Astyanax mexicanus: one gene and its partners. The protein of the gene in region 4 interacts with the protein of the main gene of each other region in a biochemical or structural test. Links are inferred from orthologs where the notes say so. Each region holds a gene or a part of one and is shown on either strand. Other genes may lie near its edges.

What was found.
Region 1: of the proteins of e2f1 (region 4) and setd7, one has a biochemical effect on the other in vitro, tested with the Homo sapiens proteins (3 studies listed by BioGRID). The link is inferred for Astyanax mexicanus from reciprocal best matches to the Homo sapiens genes E2F1 and SETD7.
Region 2: the proteins of e2f1 (region 4) and phb form a complex in vitro, tested with the Homo sapiens proteins (2 studies listed by BioGRID). The link is inferred for Astyanax mexicanus from reciprocal best matches to the Homo sapiens genes E2F1 and PHB1.
Region 3: the proteins of e2f1 (region 4) and topbp1 form a complex in vitro, tested with the Homo sapiens proteins (4 studies listed by BioGRID and IntAct). The link is inferred for Astyanax mexicanus from reciprocal best matches to the Homo sapiens genes E2F1 and TOPBP1.

Annotation. Positions count from the first base shown.
Region 1 is NC_064417.1:27,895,837-27,902,921, reverse strand, and holds the start of setd7 (histone-lysine N-methyltransferase SETD7), read right to left. Parts: upstream 3,018-7,085; 5' UTR 2,865-3,017; coding exon 2,825-2,864; intron 996-2,824; coding exon 866-995; intron 1-865. UniProt on the Homo sapiens protein: Histone methyltransferase that specifically monomethylates 'Lys-4' of histone H3. H3 'Lys-4' methylation represents a specific tag for epigenetic transcriptional activation.
Region 2 is NC_064426.1:27,732,239-27,739,807, forward strand, and holds the start of phb (prohibitin), read right to left. Parts: upstream 3,005-7,569; 5' UTR 2,857-3,004; exon of another isoform or gene 2,829-2,856; intron 2,100-2,828; 5' UTR 2,082-2,099; coding exon 1,997-2,081; intron 1,028-1,996; coding exon 866-1,027; intron 442-865; coding exon 299-441; intron 209-298; coding exon 92-208; intron 1-91.
Region 3 is NC_064408.1:103,078,905-103,086,738, reverse strand, and holds the start of topbp1 (DNA topoisomerase 2-binding protein 1), read right to left. Parts: upstream 3,007-7,834; 5' UTR 2,904-3,006; exon of another isoform or gene 2,486-2,903; intron 1,553-2,485; 5' UTR 1,545-1,552; coding exon 1,458-1,544; intron 1,317-1,457; coding exon 1,182-1,316; intron 633-1,181; coding exon 489-632; intron 384-488; coding exon 202-383; intron 96-201; coding exon 1-95. Other genes in the region: prkag2a (5'-AMP-activated protein kinase subunit gamma-2a), read left to right, coding at 6,540-6,626. UniProt on the Homo sapiens protein: Scaffold protein that acts as a key protein-protein adapter in DNA replication and DNA repair. Composed of multiple BRCT domains, which specifically recognize and bind phosphorylated proteins, bringing proteins together into functional combinations.
Region 4 is NC_064420.1:14,793,076-14,800,848, forward strand, and holds the start of e2f1 (transcription factor E2F1), read right to left. Parts: upstream 3,002-7,773; 5' UTR 1,498-3,001; coding exon 1,249-1,497; intron 1-1,248. Other genes in the region: znf341 (zinc finger protein 341), read left to right, coding at 4,165-4,195. UniProt on the Homo sapiens protein: Transcription activator that binds DNA cooperatively with DP proteins through the E2 recognition site, 5'-TTTC[CG]CGC-3' found in the promoter region of a number of genes whose products are involved in cell cycle regulation or in DNA replication.

The DNA of each region.
Region 1 (7,085 bases), on a different chromosome or scaffold from region 4:
AGCAAAACATACAAACATACAAAATGTAAAACAATATTTGATATATATAAACTGTCAAACACACACTTAAGATTATTATATATTATACACCTGACAGTATTAGAGAGTAGTACACAGTTGGGACACAGCCTTCCTTTCCTTTTTCCAAACACACCTGGTCCAACTAATCATGTAAGTAACAAGCCCTGTGTTCAATCAAAAATGTGCAGAACAGCCTCCAGAATAAGGAGTAAGAAACACAGGTGTAGACAAATATACTATGTACATCATTTGAAACAATTTAATTTGAAACTGTTTGTGTAGCTTAAACTCCATTTTTGTTTAAGTTAACAGCATTTACATCTTGCATAATTAAGAATTACAGAATTAAATCTTGCATAATATAGGCTCTTTATAATTTGCTCCATTCAGACATAGTTATCCACATTAAGGTGAAGCCAACCTCTATGTACAGCACATAAATATTCAGATTTGACATTATACAATATTATAGAATTAACCTTCACTAATACATACAGTATATTGATCATTAATCAGAGTCTAAAAATAAGAGCGGGTCAGTAACACTATTCGCTACGAGTGGCAGATCAGCCACATCACCTGTGACTCACACCTACCCATTTACATCCATGATAACTATGGACAGCCTGCAGGACTGTGTGTGTGTGCGCGCGCATGTGTGAGCGTATGTGTGTGTGTGTAGATGAGACACTGACTCATCTAAATATGAATCATAATCATGTCTGAGAACCCAGCAGCCCTGTCTTGGATAATTGTTAATAATAACACACTGGCTGGAAATACTCAGTGTGTGCATGTTTGTGTGTGTGTGTGTTTTGTTGCTTATTAGTGCTTTGTGTCAGACCTGCCGTCAAAAAAGAAGAATTTGCCCTTCCCGTTCTTTTCACCGTGGACGAAGTGGCCCTCAAAGCGATCACTGGAGGAGTAGGTGACAGTGCAGAAGCCGTGGGGGAGGTCATCATCATCCAGTGGTCCTGTGGAGTTGTTTAGAGACATAAACATTGAACATGGTCAGTCCACATGTACAACATATACACACACACACATCCATTCTTGAAATGTGAATTTAAAATTTGAATCTTCAACACTGATGTCACCCTCATCAGCCAAAAATGACTGAGGCAGTGCGCCGATCACCCTGTCATCCACTTACACTCAGGGTCTGCTTCATATTATAAATTCTATAAATCTATATTACAAGACAAAACAAGACAGCATAATGAGAGCTAAATCTCCACAGGCTATTGATGTTTTAAATGAGTTTGTCTAGGTGGGAATAAATTATTATCATAATCATGTGATTCTGCCTATTTCTGCCAGAAAGTAAAAACATACTGGTATTAAAAAAACTATGCATACATACATAAATAGATAAATACATTAATATAACTCACATTTACTTTTTGCAGTTTCACAGTTCAGTTCAGTAGTGATCTGGTCAATAATGTTAACCAGAGAGCAGTAACTGGAGTAGGATGAGTATTCACAATTGTGAAAGTATGGGTAAAGTACAACATCAAGCTAATTCAATAAACAATTTCTTATTTTATTCTCTATTTTTCAGCACCCACAAGCATTCACCAATTCACCTATGTGTGCATATGTTTATGGATGGAGGGAGGAAACCAGACCCCCAATATTTTGTATAGCTGCTGCTGTTTTATCATTAGTTTTACCCATTTAGCCTATCCACTTTTGTACACTGTCCTCTAAATGTTTATTTTAATATTTATATTGAGAGGGTGAGAAAAAGAAATAAAAATAAAAAATCAGTAAGGTTGAGAAACAGGACAAATCCAATGTGAGAAAAAGCCTAAACAATATCCAGTATTAGAGCATGGGAATATTAGACGAAAAATCTAAATGTTTTAATATTTAAATACCCATATTTGATAAGCCTGTTTTAAAGCATACTTTGGCTGTTTTGTGTTATATTACCTCCTAAATCAGTTGTGCTTTTTTATTTGTTGCTTCGGGGCAGCATTATGCAATTATATCACAAAGCATTATGCTGAGCAGTGTTTTGATATTTATTCTCAACAAATGCAAATACTATGCTTTAGAGGGTTAATATTATAATACATTTTACTTTGTTTTTTGAGTTTTTTGTTATATTTATTAAAGGCAGGAATTTTATTTTAGTAATCTAAATGGATAAGAATGACAGAAAATCATATATTTCACAAATGCAGTAAAACAAATTATAATGAGATATTTTTGTGTGGTGAACCTAATTCAGCTACATATTTTGGCTTTCTGATGTCCAACAAATAGCTAACTAAGTAAGACTGGTCTAAAATATGTGTAAATTCAAATAAATTAGAACTGCTCAGTCAATCAGAGAACCATCCGTTAGGCTGTGTCATGACGCACTTTTTAGTATAGGAGTAAGTGATTTGACTTACTCCTATACTAAAAAGTGCGTCATGACACTACACGACCACTCCACGTGAATTAATTAGTGCTTGTTTGGACAAAGCCCTGGTCTTCATATTTCTACATCTTCTCTTATGAGGACGCAGCCCTCAGTCCACTACACAGTACACTGTGATTACTATATCACTGAGTTAGAAAGGTACTGCGCGGTTTGGGACGTGGCCAGGGTGAGTTAAAGCGCTTCGATGAAGACAGGCCCCACAGGACGCGCGCACAAATAACACACACTAAAAGACTCCACACACACACTAACACACTAAACATACCCCGCGCGCGGACAGCTCTCAGAGTCCGTCTATAAAAAGAGTACAGAACTACAGAGCGCGCAGCTCCGCTCTCGTGCACGCGCAGGACCCGCGTGTCGTACCTTCCACCACCTCCTCCACGTTATCCTCATCGCTGTCCATCCCGCCGCGCCGCTCGGGTCCTCAGTGTCTCCGGGTCTGCTCTCGGTCCGCGGGGCTGCAGCTCTGAACTGGATCGCGGTCCGGTTCGGTTTGCTTGGTCATACCAAACTACTTGTGTGAGACAGCACGGTGCTCGGTGCAGTTTTTTTCCTTTTCCTACCTCTATTCAGAAAAGGCCACGCCCCTCCTGCGTTGCGATTGGTTGATGAATCCGTCATTCTTGAATTTAATCCAATCCCTTCGCAGCAGACGCGGGGCTTTCGCTGTGTGGGCTGGCGTGCTGTTTATAAATATCTGATATCGGCCAATCAGAGCGCTCAAGGGCGTGTTTTCCCCGAATACAGGTGGGCTTTAAAAAAAAGCATCGTTAGCGGTATGATGTCACTTGTGTACGCTGCCCGGAATGTGGCTTTAAGTAACCCGGATGTTGTGAATTCAGTGATCTACACCAGAGAACCTCTAGAGAGGAGAATACCATTTTAATAATGTGTTCTGGGCTCGTCGGCCACCAGAGGGCGCTCCAGAGTGATTCCAAAAACTGAAAAGTCTACTAATTTCTAAAGACATTATTAAAAAAAAAACTGTAAAACTCCAGTCATAAACCTTCTAATTATGCTGTACAGTCAGCTCCCAGCAGCAAAAAATATGTCGGCAGTGCTAAAACATTTAACATAGTTCTATATTAAAAGTATTACACGTTTGAATATGAAAATTATTATACTTTCATAAACACTGATTTTGCTCGATTGCTATGAGCCCTCATATTCATTTTGTTCTTACTCTGGAGCACCCTCTGGCGGTGTAACAAACCCAGAAGAGTGGGTTTTCTCTTTTTTAAATGTCCTCGGAAAACCAGAATGTGGGTTGTGAGTAACCCGGATGCTGTGAATTCGGTATTCTACACCAGAGAACCCCACCAGAGGGCGCTCCAGGGCGAGTCCAAAAAGAATGGGTTCATATGAAGCAATAAAGCAAAATCATAGTTTATAAATGTTTGATATTTTTATACTGAAAAGTTGGCTGATTTCTTCGAAACAAAACAAAACCAAATGTTTCAGTGCTAAAGACATAATTAAAAAACTTTAAACTCCAGATAAAAACCTTCTAATTATGCTGTGAAGTCACCTCCCATCAGCAGTAATGCTCTTTACTGCTTAAACTCTTTTACTGTAAAAAAAAAAGTAGGTCAGTTTTCTTAATAGGAAATACTCTTATTGGACTTTCTAAAATAAAGAAATATTCTAAATAAGTTGTTAGTTACTAACTATTTTTAAAGAGCATTTAACCCCATTCATTTTGGACTCATTCACTAGCGGTTTGAAGTCATTCTATCACGAGTTCAAAATGAATGGGGGTGAATAGAACTAAATGGCTAGTTAGTGAGCTGAGCCTGAAGCGAATGTCAGTGCAAATTTCAAATGGTTTACAACTGGAGTTTAAGAACGTTTAAAATGATGTCTGCAGTGCTGAAACATTTAATATTGTTATATATTGAGAAAAGTAGTACACGTTTCAGTATGAAAATTATTATACATTTAAAAAAACACTGATTTTGCTTAATTGCCTCATATGAACCCTCATATTCATTTTCTTCTCTCTCTGGAGCGCCCTCTGGCGGTATAACAACCCCAGAAGAGATCAGTGGGTCCTATCTGATGTTGCGAGTTTCAGTGATCTACACCAGAGATCCTTTAGTGAGGAGAATACCCACTTAATTATGTTATCTGGGCCTGTTGGGCCACCAGAGGGCGCTCCAGAGCGAGTCCAAAAAGAACGGGCTCATATAATGTGATAGAGAAAAGTAATTTATAGTTTATAAATGTTTGACATTTTTTATTCTTCAACGTTTACTCATTTTATCACCACAGAACAATACCAAACGTTTTAGTGCTGAAGACATACTTAAAAAACTTTAAAGTCCAGATAAAAAGCTTCTAATTTTTTTTACAAAGTTTTACTGAATACGGGTGGATTTTAAAAGTCCTGAGTTTTGGGCTTGTTGGGCCACCAGAGAGCGCTCCAGAGCGTGTCCAACAAGAATGTGCTCTATTGCTTAATGTAAACTCAATCATATTTTATTTTTTTATTGATACTTTTTGTACAGAAAGGTTTACTAATTTCCTCAAAACAGAACAATACCAAATGTTTCAGTGTTGAAGACATAATAAAAAATTATGCTGTGCAGTCAGCTCCCAGCAGCAGTAATGCTCTTTACTGCCTAAAATTCTTTTACTGTAGAAATGTAGGTCAGTTTTACTATCAGGGAATACTTTATTCGACTTTCTAAAATTAAAGTAATATTCTGAATTAGTTATTAGTTACTTATTAACTATGTTTAATTAGTTTTAGCCGATTAGCTCCATTCAATTCCATTATTTTGGACTCACTCGCGGGCTCCCTCTAGCGGTTTAAAGTCATTCTATACTATATCACGAGTCCAAAATAAAGGGGGGTGAATATAGCCAAACGGCTAAAACGTGAAATTAAAAAATAGTGACTTAAATTTTGGAAAGTGGAATGATGTATTTTGCAACAACAAAAAAGCAAAGAACGTTACATTAACTTGCCCATTTTGTTTTACAATAAACATGTTTTAGACAATAGATTCACTACCATTACTGTAAACTAACTATTTAGTGAGCTGAGCCTAAAGTGAATGCCAGTGCACGTTTAAATGGTTTATAAATGGAGTTTAATACCTTTTAAAATGAGTCTGCAGTGCTGAAACATTTAATATGGTTATATATTGAGAAATGTAGTACACATTTCAGTGATCTACACTGGAGAACCTCTAGTGAGGAGAATACCCACTTAATAATGTATCGGGCCACCAGAGGGCGCTCCAGAGCAAGTACAAAAAGAATGGGTTCATATGAAGCAAAAGAGCAAAATCATAGTTTATAAATGTTTTATATTTTTATACTAAGAAAGTTTACTAATTTCCTCAAAACAGAACAATACCAAATGTTTCAGTGCTGAAGACACAATTAAAAAAAATAAACTCCAATTAAAAACCTTCTAATTATGATATGCTGTCAGCTCCCAGTAGCAGTAATGCTCTTTACAGCCTAAAATCCTTTTACTGTAGAAATGTAGGTCTGAAATGTAAAACTTACTACCAGGAAATACTTAATACTTTCTAAAATTAAATGAATATTTTGAATTATTTATTAGTTACTTGCTAATTATTTTTAATTAGTTTAGCTGATTAGCTTCATTGAACCCCAATAATTTGGAATTACTCGCGTGCTCCTTCTAGCGGTTTAAAGTCCTTCTATAGTATATCATGAGTCCAAAATGAATGGGGGTGAATAAAGCTAAACGGATAAAACGTCAAATTAAAAGTAGTAACTTAAATTTTAGAAAGTGAAAAAAAGAAATATAGTAGACTTTTCAGTATGAAAATGATTATACCTTTATAAACACTGATTTTCCTCTATTGCTTCCTATAATCATATTCATTTTGTTTTCACTCTGGAGCGCCCTCTGACGGTGTAACAAACCCAGAACAGATTCTTCAGTGGGTCTTCTAACTACCCTCGAAGGCGGGATTTTACGGAATACGGGTGGAATGTAAAATCTGGAATATGTAACCCGGATGTTGTGAGTTTCAGTGATCTACACCAGAGAACCTCTAGAGAGGAGAATACCCACTTAATAATGTGTTTTGGTCAGCCCACCAGAGGGCGCTCCAGAGCAAGTCCATAAGAACGGACTCATATGAAGTGATAGAGAAAAGATTTTATTGAAGAAGAAATGTAATTTAATCAAATCTGGGTTATTTTAAATCGATGTGACTCTCAAACTCTCACACTATCACTCATAACAAAAATGTTATAATGTTTTATAAATAATTTATCCATCCATTATCTAAACTCCACCCCTGGAAATAGGTGTGGCCTTTAAACGCCCTGTGATCTGTGCTGAGCGGTTGTGTAAAGGTGCTTGCACACTGAACGCGGTATGCCGCGCGGCATTCCGCTGTGCTGCCGCTCTGCTCTACGCTGGCCAGTTGTTGTTGCGTTGGGCTGCTGCTGACGCCAAGCGTCTCCTGCTGATAATAGGCGGAGTTTTCTAAAACCCATCACCTCTGCGAGCGGTGTTTTGTAGTTTTGAGTCTCTACAGCCTCTGTGGATCTGTATATGTTTCTCAGCCTCAGAACAAAGCTCTGATTCTTCTCTTCCTCCTGTTATCTCTATATGAGTGTAGGGAAGTGATGT
Region 2 (7,569 bases), on a different chromosome or scaffold from region 4:
AATCATCATCATAATCATCATCATCATTGTAGTCACACTCCACAGGCAATGAATGAAGGAAGTGAGACAGATATAAAGTATCAAGGATTACCAGGGAAACGTCATCCAGGATAAGGCCGAATGTGGACGCTCTCTCAGTCAGATCTTCACTGACCTGCCTGGATACCAGCTCTCTCTGAGTGATCAGCTCTCCTGCATCAAACCTGGCCTGAGGGGAAACATGGAGACACGGCCACATGGTCACATACTATTAGGACCTCTTATACTGAGACACACAGAATGATTTATAGCTACCCACCACAACAGCTTTCAGGACTTCAGTGGTGATGGAGGGGAGCACTCTTTCATCATAGTCTTCACCAATACTGGTGAAAATCCTAGGCAGTTGATTTGCTACCGGTCTGAAGAGAATCCTCAGTGTAATGTTCACATTCTGTAGATCTGAAGGAAAAAGAAAGGAAAGACAACTATAATACTAATAGAGCATTAGCCTTAGGGTAACTAGTCAGTCACTGCAAACTCTATAGATTCCATTGTAGAGAGATAATTATTTATTTGGAATGAAAATTTTACTACATTATTTATAAAAAAAATTATAATAATAATTGAAAAAAAAGTTTCTGGACGATACGTTGTCCAAGAAACAACTTGGACAAATTTCCACATTTTTCATGACACTGATATATGGTTAACATACTGTAGACAGCAAGACCCACTGCTAAGAATTAAAATGATAAGAAAACATTGCCATGGCCACTAAGCACTGAAAATATAACAAGGCCATTACTACACCCCTTCAGAGTCAAGGTCATGGTCAAGATCATGAAAATGATATATATATATTTTTTTTTCTGACAGTAGTTACCTTTGCTTCCAGTCACGACAGGCACATTGCGTGGGCGGGACCTGCAGTCAAAAATGATGGGTTTCTGAACCCAGGGAATCAGAAAATGTGTTCCCTCCCCAACCACGGCATCCTGTACTCCTCTAAACCGGTCAAAGATGACTGCCCTGTGACCAGCGTCAACTGCAGGACACACACAGATATAGATTAGATTAAGTCAAAATCATTTTTTTATTAGTAATTATATAGTTTAGAATATAAAAAAGTTTACAGCAATTAGGGGCAAAGTTTGGCATAATCTTTTAGTATTAGGATCATAGTATTAGGCATTTCATAGGTATTAAAAAAAAAAAAAAAAAAAAAAAAACTTATGACAAGATGCCTAATCAGAAATAATATTTTTAATTTGCACACTGTATTTCCTGTCACGAATGTGTCCACCTTGTTATGGCAAGCTGCACAGCAGGGTGGACAATTTTAGGGAAAATTAGCATTTGATGAAGCCATGCTTGACCTAGAGATGCAAACATTTTGAATTGCTCATGGTGTCCCTGTTCTGTTTCAAAGACACAGTACCAGTCAAACGTTTGGACACATTCTTTTTTTCATTATTTACTACATTGCAGATTAATAGAGACTCAATAAAAATCCCTGACATAAAAACCCACCCGTTCATCAGGAAATTAAGTGAGTGTAAGGCAGCGATTCTCAGCTGGTGGGTTTGGACCCAAAAGTGGGTCGCAGACACGTTCTGGGCAGGTTGTGCACAGCTTATAAACAATAAATACATGTTTTTTATTATTTATTGTGTTATTATGTTTTAATATTTAATGTCTTATATTTTTATATTTAACTCTTCTTTACTTTGAAAGCATATGCATTTTTAAATGGGGTTTTATGGGCTATTTTAAAAAAAAAAAAAAAAAAATTGGATATAATTGTTCTCCATTCAACAGCAACAATATTCTTTTCCCATGTGTAATATGAACATACAGCTTTAGACAGATAATCTGTTAAAACACATGACTTTTAATCTCAGACAAAGTAAACTGAACACAGCCGTGCTGCTGAAATAAAGACTGTTAATCGTGTTAATGGATACAGACGTGAACAACTACAACACTTCACTAAAACACACTGAAATCCACTTACCATTAAAGAGGGCAGAGTTCACCACGCCTCCTCCAACGGCCAAGGCCAATCCCAACTTTCCAATAGACTCAAATAACTTAGCCATGACAGCGGAGTGACGGCTCTGGGGGAAAAAGGATTATTTATTATTTTTACACAATATTAATGTGAAATTCTGTGGAAAAAACTATAAAACAGCATGTGGGTTAGCTTATTAGGTTTAGAAAGGACAAAGTGTGAGGTTATCTGGAACATTCCTTCTTAGAACAGCCAGGAAATCTACTCTTCACTTATGTATCAAGAGCTAATCATCAATATTATATAACTAGCGGACAGAGCTAAGCATACTGGGTAACTAGCTTATTGGTGTTCAGTTAGTTTAATTCTGTATAACAAACAGAGCCAACAGTTAGTTAGCTAACTAACTACAAATGTGCATAATGTGAGCACTGTTCAGAGGCCTTGATTATGGACTATGCTATGCTAGCTATTAGCTAGCTATAAACTATTCTAGTTAACCTAGAAACGTCTGGAAATATTTAGTGACTACTTCACTACCTAGTTAAATGAATACGACTAAGTTACCTATTAATTCAAGATTATAACAAGCTAATACTAAACCAAGAACACACTCAGTTAGCTAGCTTAGTTAACCTAACGTTAGCTAAGCTAACTAGTTAGCATCTATTGCTGGTGCAACGTTTTGCAACCGCACCGCTGCTGCAGTTCGCCAGCACTAGTAAATCACACATTTCTACTGAAACGAGGCACAAAAACCAAGCTAGCTACTTCACCCTAACTCCTATACACACAACCAGCACATCATCAGTTAACATATAACTACTGTTCTCACATGGGCTCCAGCACTGCAGGTAACTCACCCGGGCTCCTGATCACTGTGACCTCCACACAAACCCAGCGACCAGCCACATGAACAGACAAGACGTATGAGCATGCGCAGACTGCCCAACAGAAGCGATTCTGATTGGACGCGCTGAAGCTGAGAAGGGGAGAAGCGCGTGCCTGTAAGTATGGAGTGATTTCATTGGTTGTGGTTCTGGACCTTGACGGCTCTTCCTGCGGATACGTAACACAACACATGCTGCCTTCAGACGGAGTATCTGAAGTCAGAAAATTCCCTAAACTTAAAAAAAAGTTTCTCTGATTTTGCTATTGATAGGTATATGTTTGAGTAAAATTAACATTGTTGTTTTATTCTATAAACTACAGACAACAGTTCTCCCAAATTCAAAATAAAAATATTGTCATTTAGAGCATTTATTTGCAGAAAATGTGAAATAGCTGAAAAAACTAAGAAATGCAGAGTTTTCAGACCTCAAATAATGCAAAGAAAACAAGTTCATAATCATACAGTTTTAAGAGATCAGAAATCAATATTTAGTGGAATAACCCTGGTTTTTAATCACAGTTTTCATGCATCTTGGCATGTTCTCCTCCACCAGTCTAACACACTGCCTTTGGATAACTTTATGTTCCTCCTGGTGCAAAAATTAGTTTGATGGCTTGTGATCATCCATTACTCTTGATTATTTTCCATCGTTTTTTTAATTTGGTAAAGTCAAAGAAACTCGTCAGTCTTAAGTGGTATCTTATTTTTTCCAGAGCTCTCTCTCTTTCTCTCTCTCTCTCTCTCTTTCTTTATGTCTATATATATATATATATGTCTATATATATATATATATATATATATATATAGAGAGAGAGAGAGAGAGATTTTAAAGCTGTGTGATGGGATAGTGCTGGAGATGTTTTTTTTTTTGCTTCTACAGCTCTATTACAACCATTTAACCGTTCAAACGCGTTAAGAAAATGTTTTTTGCTCCATATAACTAGTTCTGACCTGTTTGTGACTGGATTTATGTTACATCATGATTTTAACATTTTAACCCACACACAAGAAAAACATGAATGAGCTGCTCAATAAATTTATTAAATTCAATGAATTAGTATCAATATTCAGAAATTGGTCTGGGCTCTTATGGGTTACTTGTGTTTTATTATTATAGATTACTGCTTATTTTTATTGCTTATATTGTTCTATTCTATTGTTTTTATATATGTCCTATTCCTTAAATGTCCTCATATTTCATATGTCGTAATTATGTGCGCAGAGATACAGGGGAAAAAAACTATTCTAATTCATACTGCATAACTGTGATGACTTGATGAGATGAGGAAGAGACATCTATGTTTGTTTTCCTTTATTTGTGCTGAACTCACACAAGTTTCTTCTAATTTCTTTCTTCTAAACCAGCAAGATTCTTTGATCTTTCTGCTCCCATTTGAAGGGCAATTCATCTGAGAGCACTGTGGCTCCACCTACTGGACAATTTGTTCAACTGCACCCGTGGTTACTACAATAGTAGTACAAATTGTTCTTTAAACCTATGTAAACTATGGAGGACCAAAAATTACATAAGTATAAATAAATACACATATAAATGTATAAATATATAAATAAATAAATGAATAAAAAAATTAATGTTGAAATGAATAAATATATAAATAAATGCACATATAAATGAATAAACAAATATATAAATAAATAAACACATGCACAAATAAGTGTATAGGTAATTAAATTAATTAATAAATACATTTCTTATTTATATATTTATTTATTAATTTATATGTGTATTTTTTATGTCAACATTTATTTATTTATTTATTCATTTATTTATTTCAACATTTTTTTATTTATACTTATGTCATTTTTGGTCCTCCATAGTAAACACGCGTGCTTTCGTTTTTCACACTGCTGACCTGCCATGCAGTTACAGTGTCAACTCACAACTTCTCCCTGCCTCTTATCTATAAACCATGCAGAGTACATGTTGGACAGCGTTTGACTTGCTCCAACCTCACCATACACTATAGTGATGCTTCTCTACTATATGAACAAATATTCCCAACTTTTCCACTGAGAAAGTAATTATATGCGCCCAAACTGCGGTGCGCTTTCACTGCCTCCGTTTCAACAAGGTATTGATCACATCTGGGTAGATCACCTCTGGCACGCGTTTTAAATCAGAGGAAAAAACTTCCCTCTTAAATCCTTATCAAAAGGATCAGGAAAAGAGGTTTGATCACTTTTTACTAATTTCTGACCATATGTTTGCTCTGTTTTCGGGAAATATGCGCTCTCATTTTGACAGCTGTATACTTGAAAATAACGCCACCGGAAGCGTCGAAGGAACAGACATGCGCATTAGCTTTGTTATTGTTTTCCTCATTGAAACGGTCTATATTTAAAACATTGTGTGTTTATAAAAATGTAGTTTTAATATAGTATTAAATATTACAGTAATTAACAGTATATTATTAGTAAAAACAGCATGTTTATTTATTTATTTTTTTATTAAATGGTAATAAAAAATAGAGTTTGTACGGTCAAGAACAACCTGGAAAAGCTCATAGCAAAGGTTAGTTAGCTTGTTGCTAGCTTTCGTTCTAACTCCAGTAACATTAGTGTGTAGTTTGCTAGCGTTCGCTCGTCACTAAGGTTAGTTAGCTCGTTGCTAGCTTTCATTCTATCTCCAGTAACATTAGTGTTAGCTAGCTCGTCACTAGGTTAGATAATTTATTGAGCACTGTGGCACATAGGCCTTGGGTGTTGTGGCTTTGTCAGAGCACCTTGAAAAGTGTCATGTGTTGAAATCTTGCACAGACCTCCCAGACATTTCTCCTCCAGCCCCTTCAGCCCTTCCCTCCACAACTTTAGCCCACTTTAACAATCACCTTTGAAGTGGAGATGCTTCTGTTTCTGCCCCTTCCTCCCTTCCACAGCATTTGAGATGGTACCAGCCACTCAGAGTGGCAGGCCACTTCCTCCTTCCCCTGCTTCTGCTCCCGCTCCAGCTGCTCCCAGTCCCTGAGCACTATCCAGAAATAAGCCAGGCCAGGTTCTTGTCAAAGCCGCTCCTCCGGGTCATCAAGCCAGGTGACCAAGAGTGGATTGCACACATCCTTTATGAAGCAAATGGGCAGCTGAGACAGGATGTCAGGGAGAATTGGCACCACCCATACAGCCCAGTCAGATCTGTGGCACCTGCAAACCCACACAATTATTTAAGGCAGGGGATGTTATTTGGGCACCAATGTGCATGTGGGGTATCCCTTTGAAATGAAATGGCTCAGTCCAATCGGGGAGATCTTCTTAGCCAGCAGATTGGTATTGGTGACCATGATGATGATGATGATGATGATGTGACCATACCACAGGATCTTGATCTCACATTGCAGGTAACATTATGTCAACAAAACCAGACGGTAAAAAAATATTAGAAAACTAAAAAGCACTCAATTTTTGATGTACAAACAAACCTTTAAAAGATGGATGTACTCTTATTAATCACTTCAGGAATTTGGAACCAGTGGCCCCAGGCCCCAGTCAGATGTCAGGCCCCCATTGGAGGAGAGTGAGGATGTGTCAAGCCTCTGCTGGACACATCCACACCCCATTGGAGGAGACCGATGCCTCTGTTGGGCCTGTCCACGCCCCATTGGAGCCTGTCCACTCCCCATTGGAGGAGATTGATGTCACTTTCATAACTAAGAGTGATGCCGCTACTACGCCGCTGCCTGTCTTCACCACATTTAGAGTGTGATAAAGATAAAGTTTCACCATTAGAAATGTGTGCTTCTTTATATTTGCTATTGCATCGGATGTTTAAACTCGTTTATTTGTTGCTCCAATGCGTGTAACAGGAACTGTATATTAAATGGAAAAAGAAGACGAGGTGGCCGTGTGGATAAGGCAATGGACTGCTAATTCATTGTGCTCTGCTTGTGTGGGTTTAAAATGCCTTTGCAACAATGTTGATCATCTTTACATGAAGAACAAGTGAATAAAGAAGCATTTCACAACATTTCAGGCCAAAAAATGGAACTGACATTTTAGAGACAAACCAAGACAAGGTGCCTGAGTGTTTAAGGTGATAGACTTCTAATCTATTGTGCTCTCTTCATGTGTGTTCAAATTCCACCTTCATTGGATGGTTTCTTTAGAACTCTGTTAGAATAGGTTAGAGTGGAGCTCTTTGTATATAATTATTCCCCTCTCCAAGCCATTTTGGCACTTCTGGGAATGTGCGGGTTACAGGCAGTGAAAGGTCCGTAATACGTAAAATCACCATTTCTGTAAACTCCCTTCCTGTCTGTTCAGCCCAAAAACAGGGTTGCCTTTTGTCTCTGTAATCCAGATCTGCAATAACTACGTGTTTCCAAGGCTCAGTAATCGCTGGCTTGTACTGTACAACTCTGCCTGGCACAGTAATGTATGATAAGCTCATTGAAAAGGACCATGGCTGAGTAATGGTGTCAGTGAGAACTAGGTGGTGCTGTCTTTTGCTCAAATTATCTTGGCTCAGATTTAATGTTCTTTACAACACATTTTATCCTATTCAAACAGTCTTAGATTAAAGCTCAATTTGACATGGTACATCCACTAAAATCCCTGACTTAGTGGTTGTGAAGTTAGTGCTGATGCGATGCCTCGTATTTTATAGTTCAAAATCAGATCAGGGTCGTTAAACTCATTTCAGGGAATAGGGCTAATTTTTATTAGAAAACCC
Region 3 (7,834 bases), on a different chromosome or scaffold from region 4:
GCTCCACTGTGGACAGACCAGTTACACATACTGTGCAGCCTTTAAAGACAGGACAAAGGTAGTCCTCTACACGCAGGTCTGAATACCGAAACATACTGAGGAAAAGAAGAAAAACAAGAGAACCAAAATGTTTACCGCCTTTTGAGGTGAGTTTTTGAGTTTATACAGGTCATAAAAGCATGAAGACGAATAGAGTCCTACCTGTCTTGAGACTTTTCCCAGCATGCCTTCACCCAGGTGGGCAGTAAGACAGGTTTCCCCAGGTTGGCTGCCACAAGATATTTCTTACTGCCCACTTCACCTGCCACCAGGTGAGTGACTGATACATTAAGGTCTCTGTAAACCCTTCCTCCCATGAGCTGAACCAAGTCCATGACGTCTGTCTACAGGACAGACACAAATGTGGTGTAAACATTTCGTTAGATTCTAATTACTACTTATGTTAAAGACATATTTGACCCAGCTTGTGAATTTGGTTCATTGCTTACCCGTACTTCTTTGTCCAGGCTGGTACAGGTCACTGTCACATCAGCCATGGCCATGTTGTAGACAGGTTGCTCTGCCTTGGGCACACACCTCTGCTGCTGCAGACAAAAAAGCACTACCAGAGGACTGACTATCCTGCATCCCAACTGTAGTGCACACAGGGAAAAACACAGAACAGGTATAAAGACAGACTACCAGCAGTGTCATGCCAGTAGCGTTATATATGATGCTAGTGACCATGTAGAAATAGCACTACTTGTGGAAGACAAAATAATTTTGAATGAAAGACAAATTCAGAACATAAATCTAGGTAACTAATTTTATTCATAAATATACATAACAGATTACAAATGTAACATTGTTTTTATTTGTATGCAGTGATGAAAAATATCACAATATCGTTTTGTACATTTGCAGTATATTGTATTGTATTTTAAACACAACTAAATTGTGTCCCTCCAAAATACATCATAGTTACATAAAGGATCTTTCAAACGTGAGGAAAAAGATAAGAGTTAATAACAAAGAATTAAATCTTAGTACTGCATTCATAGAGCTGCAACAGAGCTTTATTGCTTAGTAAAAAAAAAAAATGTTTGAACTTTAGTGTATATGTTAGCTGCTCCATCTAATAGACATTCCATATCATTTGTATCCATAAGCTATCGTTTGGGGGGTAATATTTTTGAACATACCTTTCGACAGTGCTCAAATGCACTGCTGGTAAAGTCGCTGAAAACATATAAGGATTTGTCATTGTGATCCAACTTCAGGGCTGCTTCTTCACCAATGGTCTGCACATATTTCTCTGACTGCAATTCCACTATCGCCTTAACATACAAAAAAGAAAAATATATATTTTAATGATATAATGCCAGCAGTTATAGGGTATTCAATAACCATGTTATTAGTGGAGGACTAATAGTTTGTCAGAAACATTTGGTTTCCATTATGATGAATATTTACTGTACCTCATAAGCTTTTTGACCAAGCTCACGTTTCTGCCCATTGTGTTCAACAAACTTTACCATAAAAGCATCCTGGCTCCTTTTGGACATTCTGGCTTCTATTGTTTAAAAAAAAAAGAAAATACTGAATTACTACATTTCAAAAAGATCTCACAGAACAACAAGATCTCACTGATAACTTGACTAATGTATCTCAATTCCATACAAAAGATAACTTGTTGCTTCAAAATAAAGTAACTAACTTTTATCGTACATAAAGTAAAATATTTTATTCCACCATTTATACTGGTCTATTCATTACAGGATCCCTAAAATATCAAGGTAGAAACATTAACATTTGGAGTAGAGGTGTGCCTTATAATATTTGACCTTATAATATTGTAAACAAGATATCATGCCAGAATAAAATTGTAAATAATAAAAATCCATGACAATAGGGGTTTTCTGTCTTGAAAACCTTTTAAAATTAGTTTTCGTTTCTTAGTAAGTTACTGATGTTTACAAAATATACAAAGGTTTCAGATTTATTTTGTTTTGTTTCTACTGAATGTCTGAAATTGTTGACAAGCCATTCTAGGTGACTACACCTAGGTTTTAAACTGTGGCCTATGTTATGGAGCACTGTCACATCGCAACAGGTCCAGCAGCTATAAATCATGCAGTATTAAACTTTTTTCACTTAGTTAACTAGCTAACCAAACTAACTAATTAGCTGTTATTAGGCAAGAAGTCTTGCTAGGTTACTATAAAAATATATTAAATACACAACAGATAGTTAGCGTTAGCTAGTTAACCTAGTTAGCTCACCTAGCTAAGTTACATATTCAGCTATTTAGTATCAATTGTTTATAGGTTAGCTAGCAGTAAGCAGGCTAGCATGAAGAGTACAGATTCTACAGAGCTTTTTTGCATTTCACATTTATGTCCAAAATGTCATAAGAAATACGTGTTAATTAAAGTTAACACTTAGGTTCATTAGTGTCAGTCAGGTCTAAACTGTTAACATAGTTAGCAAAGTAAACTTAGCTTACCTTAAATTAGGTTACTAGCTAAAGCTAGCTTAGCAACGGTCACCAGCTTTCACTGGATCAGCAGTCAGATCCACTAACTAGCTAAATAGATAGCTAGTTAACTAGCTAACGAGCTTATTATCTAAGTAATCTGAAACTGAACATTGTAGTTTAGGTTCAGCCAGCAAACAGACGGATACCAGCTGCTAAACGCCTCAGTTTTGCTGAAATATCATTATCTAATGATGTTTCCTCAGAGAGAGCTCGAGCTCCTGTAGTCCTCCAGTCAGCAGAGCCGTTACCGCTGAACTACTCATCCCCACAGCACACAGATATTAACGGATAAAACAGGCGAATAGAGACGAATCCCCAACTCTAAACGCTTCGTTATCTCTCTACAGCCTGACGGAGGAGCCTTCGCGCCATCCAGTCAACTTACAAAACGTCCGGCAGTTCTTCTACTCGGAGCTGTTGTTGTTTTCAGCAGATCCACTGCTCTGGATTTACCGCCCCCGGACGACGCGGAGCTGAAACACACAGCCGCTGTTTCAGAGGTAAATTACAAACATTGGAGGTTATATCTGATGTTCTGAAGTTTGTAGACTCTTCTTGAACGTTTCTTCTGACATTCAATGTAATAATTGTGAGTTTGCGACCCCCGTGATGCATCAACAGGGACTCACAAACAACCCTAATCATATGATTTTATATTCCAGCTTTACAAAAGATATAGATACCCAATTATGCCAAAATACACTTTGTGGTCAAAAACAACATGGACACCAATTCTCAGTATAATGGTACGGTCAGGCCCATTGTTTAAAATCTAGAATTTATTAGTGAATATTTGAACAAATAATCTCTAAAAACAGAATGACACAAAATGTCACTTGAAAAAAAAAAGAAATCCACAAAACATTTGATGTTAAATAGGACCGGTTTAGGCAGATAAAAACCTGGAAAACGGAATACTATCAGAAACGGAATTTCCACAGCCTTTTACCAGCATACCTCAATTTAACTACTAGTTTGACAACTAGCTAACTTAACTAATGTTAATACCCACTAATATATTTAGCTATTTTAGCTGGCTAGTTTAGCTAGCTAAACGTACATTAGATGTACAATAATATTGAAATCTCCTAAAATTTAAATGTTGAATGAATATAAATTAATATAATAATATGTCGCTATATTTAGGATAATTTTACTACAGATGTTCAAATTCACAGCTCGCCAACTATACCTTAGAAAGCAGTGATAAAGAAGATGAATGCGCTTATTCACCAAAATGTACTTTTTCGATAAAGCAAGACTACAGAACGGTTTATTTTATTAAAAAATGTTAAATCTGCTGTAGATTTACATATATTTTCTACAGTAATGTATTAATCAACATTAAATCATTTAATTTCATCAACTATTTTACAGTTAGTTAGTTAGTTATTACCATTAAACCACTAGACACTAGACATAGAGTCTTTTTTTATAATATTGTAGCTGTTACAATATTTACACAGGTGTTGAAGGTGGTAAATGTTGTGTCGCTGTACAGAGTTTTCTGAAATGTTCAGTATACCCAAACCATGCAGCATTTAAGCTAAATGAACATATCCTGGTTATCACATGAATCACACAAAAAACATTAGAAAAGCCTGCAGTTTAATACAGTAACAGTATAAAGCTGATTAGCAGCATCAATAACAATATTACTTATAGCATAGCTGTTTCAATTTCATTCAAATACTATGTAACAATTAATTTATCAGCGTTTACTCTGAACACATTAACACACATATAGAGGAATATTAAACTTCACTTTAAAGGACTTATTATACATTTTACACAGTTTTCTTTGATGTGAGGGGTGCAGTTGAATAAAAACGGTTTGATAATTTAGGCATTTATGTGACTGCTTGCCTGTAGAATTAGTAGGGCAGTTTTGACCTCAGTGTGGCTATGTAGAACATGTACACCCAGGATGAAACTAGATAGAAAGGACTGGTGGAGGCAGGATGTCTTGTTTTTTTCTCTGGCCTTTCTTGAGCTTGCACATAAACACAGATAATCCCTTTGGTGATTATCATGCTTCTGCAACTGCATATGGTTCTCTCCTGCATTATATGCAAGCTCCTCTGGGGCTACTAATAAACATTTACATGAACAGTCTGTAAAACAGCTCTGTTTTGATACACACAAATTTCTGCAAAAAATAAATAAAACTCATAGCTTAATATTAGCATTTATTATACGTGATTAAAAAATGTTCATACGTTTTTTATAACATGACAGAAAATACACTTAGTTTATGATAAACACGACCACAACATATCACACAAATAATCCATTTGGTCCTTATTATGCTTCTGCAACTGCACATGAACCTCTAAGTGTAAGAAACAGGCTTATTCTCCAACATGTAGCATTTGGCACCAAAACTGTCATAGCCTGATGCTTTAAACTGAACCTGGGCAGAAATAATTCTATATGGGACAAAATATTCACCAATATCCGCTAAAAATACATAGAGGTGACTAGAACTGATATGAAAACTAATTTTTCCATTAACTTGTCTCAAAATAACATATATCCTTGTAAAATACCACTTATTCACAGAGCTTATCTGCTATGCTTACCTCCAGCATCATATGAAAGCTCCTTTGAAGATAAATGAAAACAAAACATAAAACAAACAAAAAAACATGCAGTTGCATTGTTAGTGCAGGGAACAGTAGAATAATGTATAATATGATAATTTTGTAAGAAATCATTTCAAAGAACATAATATTTTATATAATTCCTTTTAGTTATGTCTGTTTAACTCCATTACACCCTCCCCCACTGAATTCTGACAAAATTGTGTACATACCATGGAAGGTAATACGTCAAAATACTTGGTTTGTGTTCCAAGAGTCATAAAAAAGACTTATACATATCTAGCAAAGATGAAGTAGAAAAGTGTGACTTCGAGCTCTTCAACCAGCTACCAGTTGTAGAATGCCTCGTACATTCCATGCTAACCCAAAACCTTCGACTTTTGATTCAAATAGGGCATTTCCCTAACTCTAACTCCTCACAACACAACTAATGCTTTCAAACATATTAAGAGGGGAAGAAATTTGAGTAATTAACTTTTGACAAGGCACAACTTAAAGCCATTCCATGTGACTACCTGAGAAATCTGACTGAAAAGATGTGCAAATCTGTTATCTAAGCAAGAGGTGCCTACTTTGAAGTATTTAAAGTATAAAACATATTCTGGTTTGTTTAACACATTTTCTGTTTATTGTTTACTAAATTATTTTATTTGTTTTTTCTTCATAGTTTGGATAACTTTAGTATTAATCTACAAAGAAAACAATGTTATGAATAATTAAAAAACACTTAATTTAAAGGTGTGTTCAAACTTTTGACTGGTACTGTATATATGTTTTCATACTCATCTTACAATCAATAATATTTTAGCTAAATTTATACTCAGCTCATGACTTAATTTGATACACAGCAGCATCTAGGCTAAGCTGCATGATAACACTGACTAACGGGAGACCTGAACCTGAACTCTGGTTATAGTTTACTGTCTCTAGATTCACACTCGTGTTCATCGACGTGCTTACACACCTCATAGCCCCCCCATGTGACGCGCGTGCGTCCTTTAAAGCCCATCCGCCCTTTGCGCGCTCCTGTGCCAGAGACGGGGGCGCGCCTCAGTGTTTCTGACCGGCATGGAGCTGCAGCAGCAGGTTACAGTGTGAAGCTGCTCCAGCGGTGGAGTAGTGTTTTATTCATTCTGTAGATAAAGCACGCGGTGCTGTAGCCTCGTGTAGACAGAGCAGTTCTGCGTTTTTATGTTCAGGATGCTTTTTTCTGCTTTGTTTTGTTGTTTTTTTTCACTGGAGGAGCTTTGAGATGAATTGATTATCAGCGATAAAGTTCTGCAGCGACAGAATTAGATTAATTAGATTTCACCGCTGTTTTTTGTCGCTGTGTGAGGTGTACCCTGCGTTAATTCTGAGTTTTGTTGAGTTTATTTCTCTCACTGCTGGAAGGTAATATCTCTCTATAGGATTTTAACATGGGGAGCACTGCTATGGACTCTAAGACTAAAGACGGGGGGAAGAAAAGTACCCGAAAGAGGAGGACCCTGCGCTTAAACATGCCGGTAAGTCAGAGCGGTCACTCGTTCACGGACATTGTTTTAGTGATGAGCGTTTGATCCACACCGCCAGCCAATCACAGCGCAGCTCTGCAGCGCAGTTCCAGCATGTGGGTGGGGCTCGGTGAAGCGCGCGGCATATATAACACCTACATTCCACCGCGCTCCGTGCTTTCCCCACCCGTATTCGTGCAAGCTCCGCCCCTCGCAAGGTGATTGGCTAGTAGTTCATAGTAACTATAAACTATGAACCTACCTAGCTTCTAAATTATTGACTAGCACCCAAAACAATATTAGTAATGTAAGTGTAGTAGACATTTTTTTTTTCAAATTAAACTTGTACAGAGCATGCACAAAAAATAGAGACAGCACAGGAAAAACTTGGTAAAGTTTTTACAAATTACCATGCCACACTCAGCCTTATTCCATCCTTTCCATACCCAGCCCTTCACATATCCACCTCAGACACTGAACTGGACTTCACTGCACTTGTTCAAGCCTAAAACAGTCTACAATTTGTCTAACTGAACAAGAAAAAAAAACAGAAAATAAGGCAATTAGACTACAAACCAAATAGCAATAGAACTTTGTATAAAGTGAATATAATGCTGGTTTTACGGCAGAGACATTTTGTTCAAAATTGTTAATGTAAATGTTGATTAAATACACTGTCTGGCCAAAAACACTTTTCACACTGGGTGGCAGTTCTTGTGAGATTAGTGACATTTCAGTTTGGAGAAGCACAGGAGTTTTTTTTTTTTATTGTAATATAATACAGGAAATTTATGGGAAAATACTAATATGGGAGGACAACGGGAAAAAGGGGTAAAGACATGACATGACGCCTAAGCGGAAGACATGACATGTATGAGGGATGCTGCAGTTGGTCAGGTCTAGGTTTAGCAGCAGTATGTGCTGTAAGAATGAGGTCAGCTGACTACCTGAATATACTGAATATAGACCAGGTCATTCCATCAATGGATTTTTTATGCTTTTATTCTATAACACGGACATATTCCAAGATGACAGTGCCAGGATTCATGGGGCTGGAATTGTGAAAGAGTGGTTCAGGGAGCATGAGATTATAATTTTCACACATGGATTGTTCACCACAGAGTCCAGACCTTAACCTCATTAAGAATCTTTGGGATGTGCTGAAGAAGGCTTTGTGCCTCGGTCAGACTCCACCATCATCAATGCAAGATCGTGCATGT
Region 4 (7,773 bases):
GTGTATCTCACTATTTTATATTCATAATCTTATTTTCTGTAACTTTTGAGAAGGAGAGGAAAGTAATTCCAATTCTCTGTATGTCTTTTACATATGCAGTATTTACAATAAAACTACTTGACTTGACTTTAGTACTGGTTCAGCAGTAAAGTTAGTAGTTGTGGTACTGGTTAAGCAGTAGAATTAACAGTTGTACTTGTTTAGCAGTAGATGAACTAGTAAGAACAGTAATGTACTAATTCAGCAGTAGAGTTAGAAGTTGTAGTACTAGTTCAGCAGTAGAGTTAGTAGTTGTAGTACTAGTTCAGCAGTAGAGTTAGTAGTTGTAGTACTAGTTCAGCAGTAGAGTTCGAAGTTGTAGTACTAGTTCAGCAGTAGAGTTAGTAGTTGTAGTACTAGTTCAGCAGTAGAGTTAGAAGTTGTAGTACTGGTTCAGCAGTAGAGTTAGAAGTTGTAGTACTGGTTCAGCAGTAGAGTTAGAAGTTGTAGTACTAGTTCAGCAGTAGAGTTAGAAGTTGTAGTACTGGTTCAGCAGTAGAGTTAGAAGTTGTAGTACTAGTTCAGCAGTAGAGTTAGTAGTTGTAGTACTAGTTCAGCAGTAGAGTTAGTAGTTGTAGTACTAGTTCAGCAGTAGAGTTAGAAGTTGTTGTACTAGTACAGCAGTAGATTTAGTTGTTGTAGTACTAGTTCAGCAGTAGAGTTAGTTGTTGTAGTACAAGTTCAGAAGTAGAGTTAGTACACAGGAAATTTGGCAGTGTTAAATCAACACTGTTAGTGTTAAATCAACTCTAATAAGTGTTATTATATACTAATACTGTGTTATTATATACTAATACTGGTAATAGTAGGTTTAGTACCAGTTCAGCAGTAGAATTAGCAGTTGTACTTGTTTGGTAGTATAAGAACTAGTAATAGCAGCAGTGGTTGTAGTACTGGTGCAGCAGTAGGATTAGCAGTTGTACTTGTTTGGTAGTATAAGAACTAGTAATAGCAGCAGTGGTTGTAGTACTGGTGCAGCAGTAGGATTAGCAGTTGTACTTGTTTGGCAGTAAAATAAGTAGCAGTTGCAGTACTGGTAACCACAGTGGTTGTAATTTGCAGATGGCAGATGCATTTCTAGCAGTTGTAAGACTAGTAGACTGTTTTAATACCATATCATTACTACTGCTGCTGCTGCTGCTTGTCGGTTACACCTACTTCAGTCAGTATCAGTAATTCTGCAGATATTGATTAGCTTATGGTCAGTACCGGTGGTCGTCCCAGCGCGGGTCTGCGGATCTCTTCCAGGGGGGCCGGGGTGGTCTGCGGCGTGGCGAACAGCAGGATGTCCCCGCCCGCGGAGTGGGTGGCAGCCGGGTGAAGTTCCACACCGCCGGGGGTGGAGATGATCACTATCTGGTGCTCGGCGCTCAGGTCGATGCTCCCGCTGTTCAGCAGCGACTCGAAGTCGGCCAGGAGGTCCTCGGACGTGTGGCCTGATATGAAGGTCTTTGACATGTTGGACTGTCTGTCTGAGTGCGCGTTTTAAATGAGGCTGTGTTTCCGAAAACACCCTCTGATTCAGGCCTTCAGTGGAAAAGAGTTCAGGAGACTGCCCTGAACTGTGTGCTGTGAGTGAAATTACACTGAGGGCAGCCAGAATACCGTCCTGCTGGAGGAGCCATGTTTATAAGGGCTTGTTATAATTACATATATTAAGGCTGACATATGTATATATTTCTTATAGAGATATTTAAGTTTAATATGCGGATTTAACGCAAGTTAATGCATTAATATGAGAGGCTTTCATTCATTAAACTAACAAAACAGCTACGCTAACTAGCTAACTTAGATAACTAGGTCAAGGCTCTTACAGCCAAAGTACAAAGTTTGACAAAAAGCAGAGGAGTGAAAGTTGCCTAATATGATTACAAATGTAAGGAAATATCATTACGGCTGTTTTTGACACTTTAAAGTAGGATTACAGCTCTAAAAGTCAGAAAATCTGCATTTGTCAGTGTTGAGTGCTAGCAGCCCTTTGTTTTGGTCCCCTATGACTAGACAGCTGAAAGGCCAGCAGCTGCAACTCTGCTCCCAAAGCTAACTGGCTAGCAAATATAGAAGCTATAAGTGGGGAAATGGGGAAATATATACGAATACAAATTACTATAGTTAGCTATATTAGCTACAGTTATAGTTAAGAAGCTATTAAAGTGATAAAGTGGGAAATGTAAATATGAAGGTTACTATACAAGCTAGGTTATAAGCTAATTTAGAAGCTATTAAAGTGTAATAGTGGACAATAATAAATATAGCATAGGAAACATAGGGAAAGTCAGAAAATATGAATATACAAAGTTACTAGTGCCTATTGTAGCTACTAACCTAGTTAAGTTAATATGAACGTTAGCTGATCTATACGATATTGTTACAGCAACAGTCAAGTTCAGCTTTATATTAAGCTGGATGGCTGATAGAAATGCATCTAAAAACTATAGATTAACTTTTTTTTAAAGCAACTACACATTTAAACATTTTAAAGAGTTTTTTTACTATTATGAGTTAATAGGTGACCAAGGCGAGGCTTTTCAGTGTAAAAGTTTAAAATATCTGCGGCCCTTGGTTTCTCTTTCTGCCAGAAACAAAACAAACCCGTCCAGGAAGCTCCTCCGTCCAAAAACTAGCTAAATAATCCAACTGTCCTGTCGGCCGCGCTCTCCAGGCGAAAACATCCACAATAAACCCCCGATAGTCTCTCGCTTTGTGCCCACAGGTCCGCCGCTGAGCCTCCGTCCGCTCCCCGAACCGATCTGCTCCGCTGTTTCTCCCTTTTTGTTATTGTTGTTTTTGTCTCAGCTGATCGGCTCTAGCTTATTTACGCGCCAAATCTTTTTTGCCGCGAAAACTGGCACGTGCCGAATCGCGGCGACACTATTGGACGAGAACAATTTTCACGTCACGGTTCCTCTGCTCTCTGATTGGCAGCCGCGCCTGTAACTCAGAAACAGGCACTTCTGGAGAGAACAATGGGAATTTAATCGATGAGCAAGTTTAAAAAATATATTTATTTATCAAAGACTTTATTTTATAATTACAATTATTATATGTGGAACATTTTCATTAGAATTTGCCCAATAACTAGCTACGTATCTAGCTGGCTTTGTTAGGTATCATATATTTTAGAAGCAGGCTAATACATTTGTCTCAGCTGACCAGAGAATATTAAGAATATTAAGAGCTCTGAAATACTTATAACCCATAGCAGTCTGTTACATATTTGCCTATATTACTATATTGCATTGTAATACTGTAATAAAATAATAATATTCTAATAATTACAGTATTTCACATTTACTATGTATATGACACACATGTATACGAATGATTAGTATAATTAACTATTATAAAGACTAAAGATATTGAGGGTAGACTAGCTACTACTAATGCTGTCCATTATGGGTTGGAATGAATTTGATGGGTGAAAATATAAAACATTTGGGTTCATACTGTCTGCAATAAAAAGAAAAGTCAAAGTAAATGTAAAAAACTTTTTTTTCTCTTTTATGGGTATTTTTCATACTCTTTCAACCAAAGTCTTTATTTAAAGTCCCAAATTGCAACTACCAAGCATAGCCTAAGAAGTATTTTTAGTGGATACTGATGTTTGTATTTCTTTTGTTTGGCTTTGTCTAATATTGCTACAGTTTTTAATTTAAGCAAATTTAAAAAAGAAGACAATTATGTAGAAATAAAATATATATTAAATGAATACATATTTATAATATTTATAAATGATTATATAAGCAACTATTGTTCAGCACCTCCAGGAACTCCTTCAAGAAAACTATTCCAGGAGACTTAAAATACCAAGAGTGTGCAGATCTTCCTTCAAATCTAAATGTGTTATTTAGAAGAACTAAGTTTATAGTATAAAACACTTATTAAAATAATACCACGTGTTCCTTTTTGATGTCTTCAGTATTACATTTACAATATAAAAATCATAAAAAGAAAGAAAACACATTGCCCGAGAAGAGGTGTGTCCACATGTTTGACTGCTACTGTATATCATATTAAAATATAAATGAATAGAATGTGTAATATTAATCAGCTGACAGGCCCCGCCCACTCCTCCGCCTCAGAGAGACAGAGAGCGCTGCTCCGCCGGCTGCTGAAGACTTCAACATGTCGCAGGCGATATTTGAGGTGCTAGAAGGTAGACACAAGCATTTTTTACTCATTTTTTTTTACAAAGAAATACAGACGTTCAGCTGTCTTTTAAATTGTTTCTATTTCCTGCTCTGAAAACTGAAGTTTTGAGAAGCAGCCGGTTCTCTCGTGTCTTCCGTGTGGCTCAGTTAAACCCTTTAAACCCGTTAAAAGCGTGAAGCGGAGCTGCTCGGTCCTGTTAAAGCGGACGGGTCTGCAGGATGTGTGTGTGTTTGGAGTGTGTTTTGGGTTCGTTCGGGTGTTTTTCACTGTTATTTGTGTGCGCTGAGATTCGTGTAGAAGAGGGAGGGTGGGCCGCTGAAACAACAGCTACGCACTGAGGGAGGAAAGATGGCGGAGGGCGAAAGGCGAGTTGTGGGAAAAGCCTCCCCAGCGCTATATGGTCAAATTCTGCGGTCCACCTTAAATGCTGCCGCTGTTCTGCTCGGGGGCGTGTGCAGGTGGCAGTTCGGTATTAATGTATTTTTTAAGGTGGACCTGGATTTTGAATTAGGGAGCCAACCACAGCTTTGTGAACTGCTACAAACAGACTGACATATCTGTTGTAACAGATTTAGACAGAACTAGTAGTAAAGTGTGATGACTCTGCTTATATGTTCTAGTTTTTTTTGTTTAAATGACAGATAAAATACAAAACTGTTAATTCTATATAGCATGTATTATTAGCTTAGGAGTCTCTGTTGTTATATCAAATGTTTGATAAAAAAAACACTTGTATTAAAGCTATTCAAAAAGAAAACATTTTAAAACAGTCACATAACCTTCTTTACACATTTTTGCACACATACATATTTTTTATGACTTGTATGCCTCATTGTATTATGTAGAGATATGGCCAATTACATTACATTTCTTTAAAAGAAAATGGCAACAAAGACCACGTCCTAGCAGGTTAAAAAATCAAATATAACTTTAAGATAAAGTTGAGTCATTTTCACTTTTGTTTACAAGCCAAGACAACTTAATAGCATAGTAGAAATACATTCTAATAGCAGGCATCTAGATTAAGGATGCTCAGTGATATTGGCATTATATCGGTATTGGCCGATAATAGTTTCAATTAAGTATCATCACATTGGTCGAGGTCTAGATATTACCAACTTTCAGTGTTTGCAAACATATTTATTGCATGCCGGAAAATGACCAAGCAACGGGCCGTAATGTGAGGACCAGTAATCCTGTACCTGGCCTATAGACCTGTTCGCAATTTGGTGTTGGGGGAATTTCTCACTTGAACTGAGTTAGTGGGTCCCTAGACATGAAAAATCCCTGAGGTGCTCGTCCGCCATAGTGCCACGAATTCCGCAATGGTCAAATCAAATATGGCTGCCATCGGCTATGATGAAAATCCAACTTTTTTGTTTCTGAATGTATATACACAAATAATACCTCAATTTAGACTAATTATGGTATGAGAAACTTATTTCTGATATTGTTATGACCATATTGGGTGATTTTGACATTAAAAGGTCATGATCAAGGTCGTTTTTCTATTCTTAAGTGTACTGAATGCGTGCATGCATATTAGTGGGATGGGTTTTTTACAGAATGATTTTTCTATTTTTCCATGGCAGAATATGATGCATGAAACTCCAGCAGAACGACAGCCACATCGACTATTGTCACACTTGCCTGCACACTTACAGACTGAGAGCAGACTTGGTGGTAAAGGCTTCAGACATTTTGATGGCGGGAGTGTGCCAAAGTGCTCCTTCCATTCATGGTCTGTTGGCTCTAGTCTTGCTTTGGTGTCCTTGGCTGTAAGCAAGTTGCATGCCATATGAACCAGAGAAGCCCCTCGTTGGATGTGGCCTCTGATCACACTACTTGTGAGAGCATCAATTCCAGTACTTCCATGTGTGTAGATTTCTACAAATGTCTTAGCTTTTATCAAATATCTTATCTGTTGTTGTTGTTGATCTGTCCCCAGCCCAGACATGCACCAAGTGCTTCTCAGCCAAAGCTGCATCATGCTCTGTCAAGGCCTGCATCTTGCTCTGCCTCTCCAAAGTTGGCTCAGTACTGGGTCAAAAGCTGTAGAAGCATGTTTAGTCTCCACCTTGCTCATACAGTCATCTCCAGTCAGGATATGAGCTTTAATCACTGTCTTTGACAGTTATGCTCCGAAACGAGAGACTGCTTGATGGAGTGGAAGCATTCGCAGCCTCTCACCATTGCCATACTGCCACCAGATCTCCTTCATCCCAAGTTCTGGGAAGTATGTGCTGTAGCGGAGAAGCAATGCAAAGGTGTCTGTGTCATTGGAGACTATGATAACTCTTTTGCACTGCTTCACAAGAATAGCCCACTCAACATGCACCAGCAACCTGGCATCAGCTTCTTCAATCCTGTTCAATAGGTCTGGGATCTCGTCCCCACCAGCTGCCTTTGCTGGCAACACCTCATAATGAAAGACAACAGAGCTCACAAATACAGTAGCATTGCCACTGGTTCGACTGCAAACCATATCACGATCGGGACATGAGACACTTTCTCTAAGCAGTCTCTCGACTTGGAGCATCACTTTCAAAGACAGTGATTAAAGCTCATATCCTGACTGGAGATGACTGTATGAGCAAGGTGGAGACTAAACTTGTTTCTACAGCTTTTGACCCAGTCCAGTACTGAGCCAACTTTGGAGAGGCAGAGCAAGATGCAGGCCTTGACAGAGCAAGATGCAGCTTTGGCTGAGAAGCACTTGGTGCATGTCTGGGCTGGGGACAGATCAACAACAACAGATAAGATATTTGATGAAAGCTAAGACATTTGTAGAAATCTACACACATGGAAGTACTGGAATTGATGCTCTCCCTCTCACAAGTAGTGTGATCAGAGAAAACATCCAACAAGGGGCTTCTCTGGTTCATACGGCATGCAACATGCTTACAGTAGCCAAGGACACCAAAGCAAGACTAGAGCCAACGGACCATGGATGGAAGGAGCACTTTGGCACACTCCTGCCATCAAAATGTCTTAAGCCTTTACCACCAAGTCTGCTCTCAATATGTAAGTGTGCAGGCAAGTGTGACAATAGTCGATGTGGATGTCGTTCTGCTGGAGTTTCATGCATCATATTCTGCCATGGAAAAATAGAAAAATCATTCTGTAAAAACCCCATCCCACTAACATGCCCGCACGCATACAGTACACTTTGAGAGAAATCCCACTGCATGGTGCACTTTTAGTTCATTTGGTTTGATGTAATTTGTATCACTTTTATTGCTACATAGTTTTATTTGCACCCAATTGTTTTATATCATTGTACTAACACTCTGTTAAAATATAAGTTCAAAGGGGATGTTTAAAATTGTCATATTTCTTCTCTTCATGAGTGTTAAATATATATATATAGCAATGGATATTAAATGTCAGATTTATTAGACTTATTGTATCTGGTTTTGATTCCTTATAATGGCCAAGTTGTGGGGAAGGCCTTCAGAATAGAAAAACGACCTTGATCATGACCTTTTAATGTCAAAATCACCCAATATGGTCATAACAATATCAGAAATGAAATTCTCATACCATAATTAGTCTAAATTGAGGTATTATATGTGTATATAC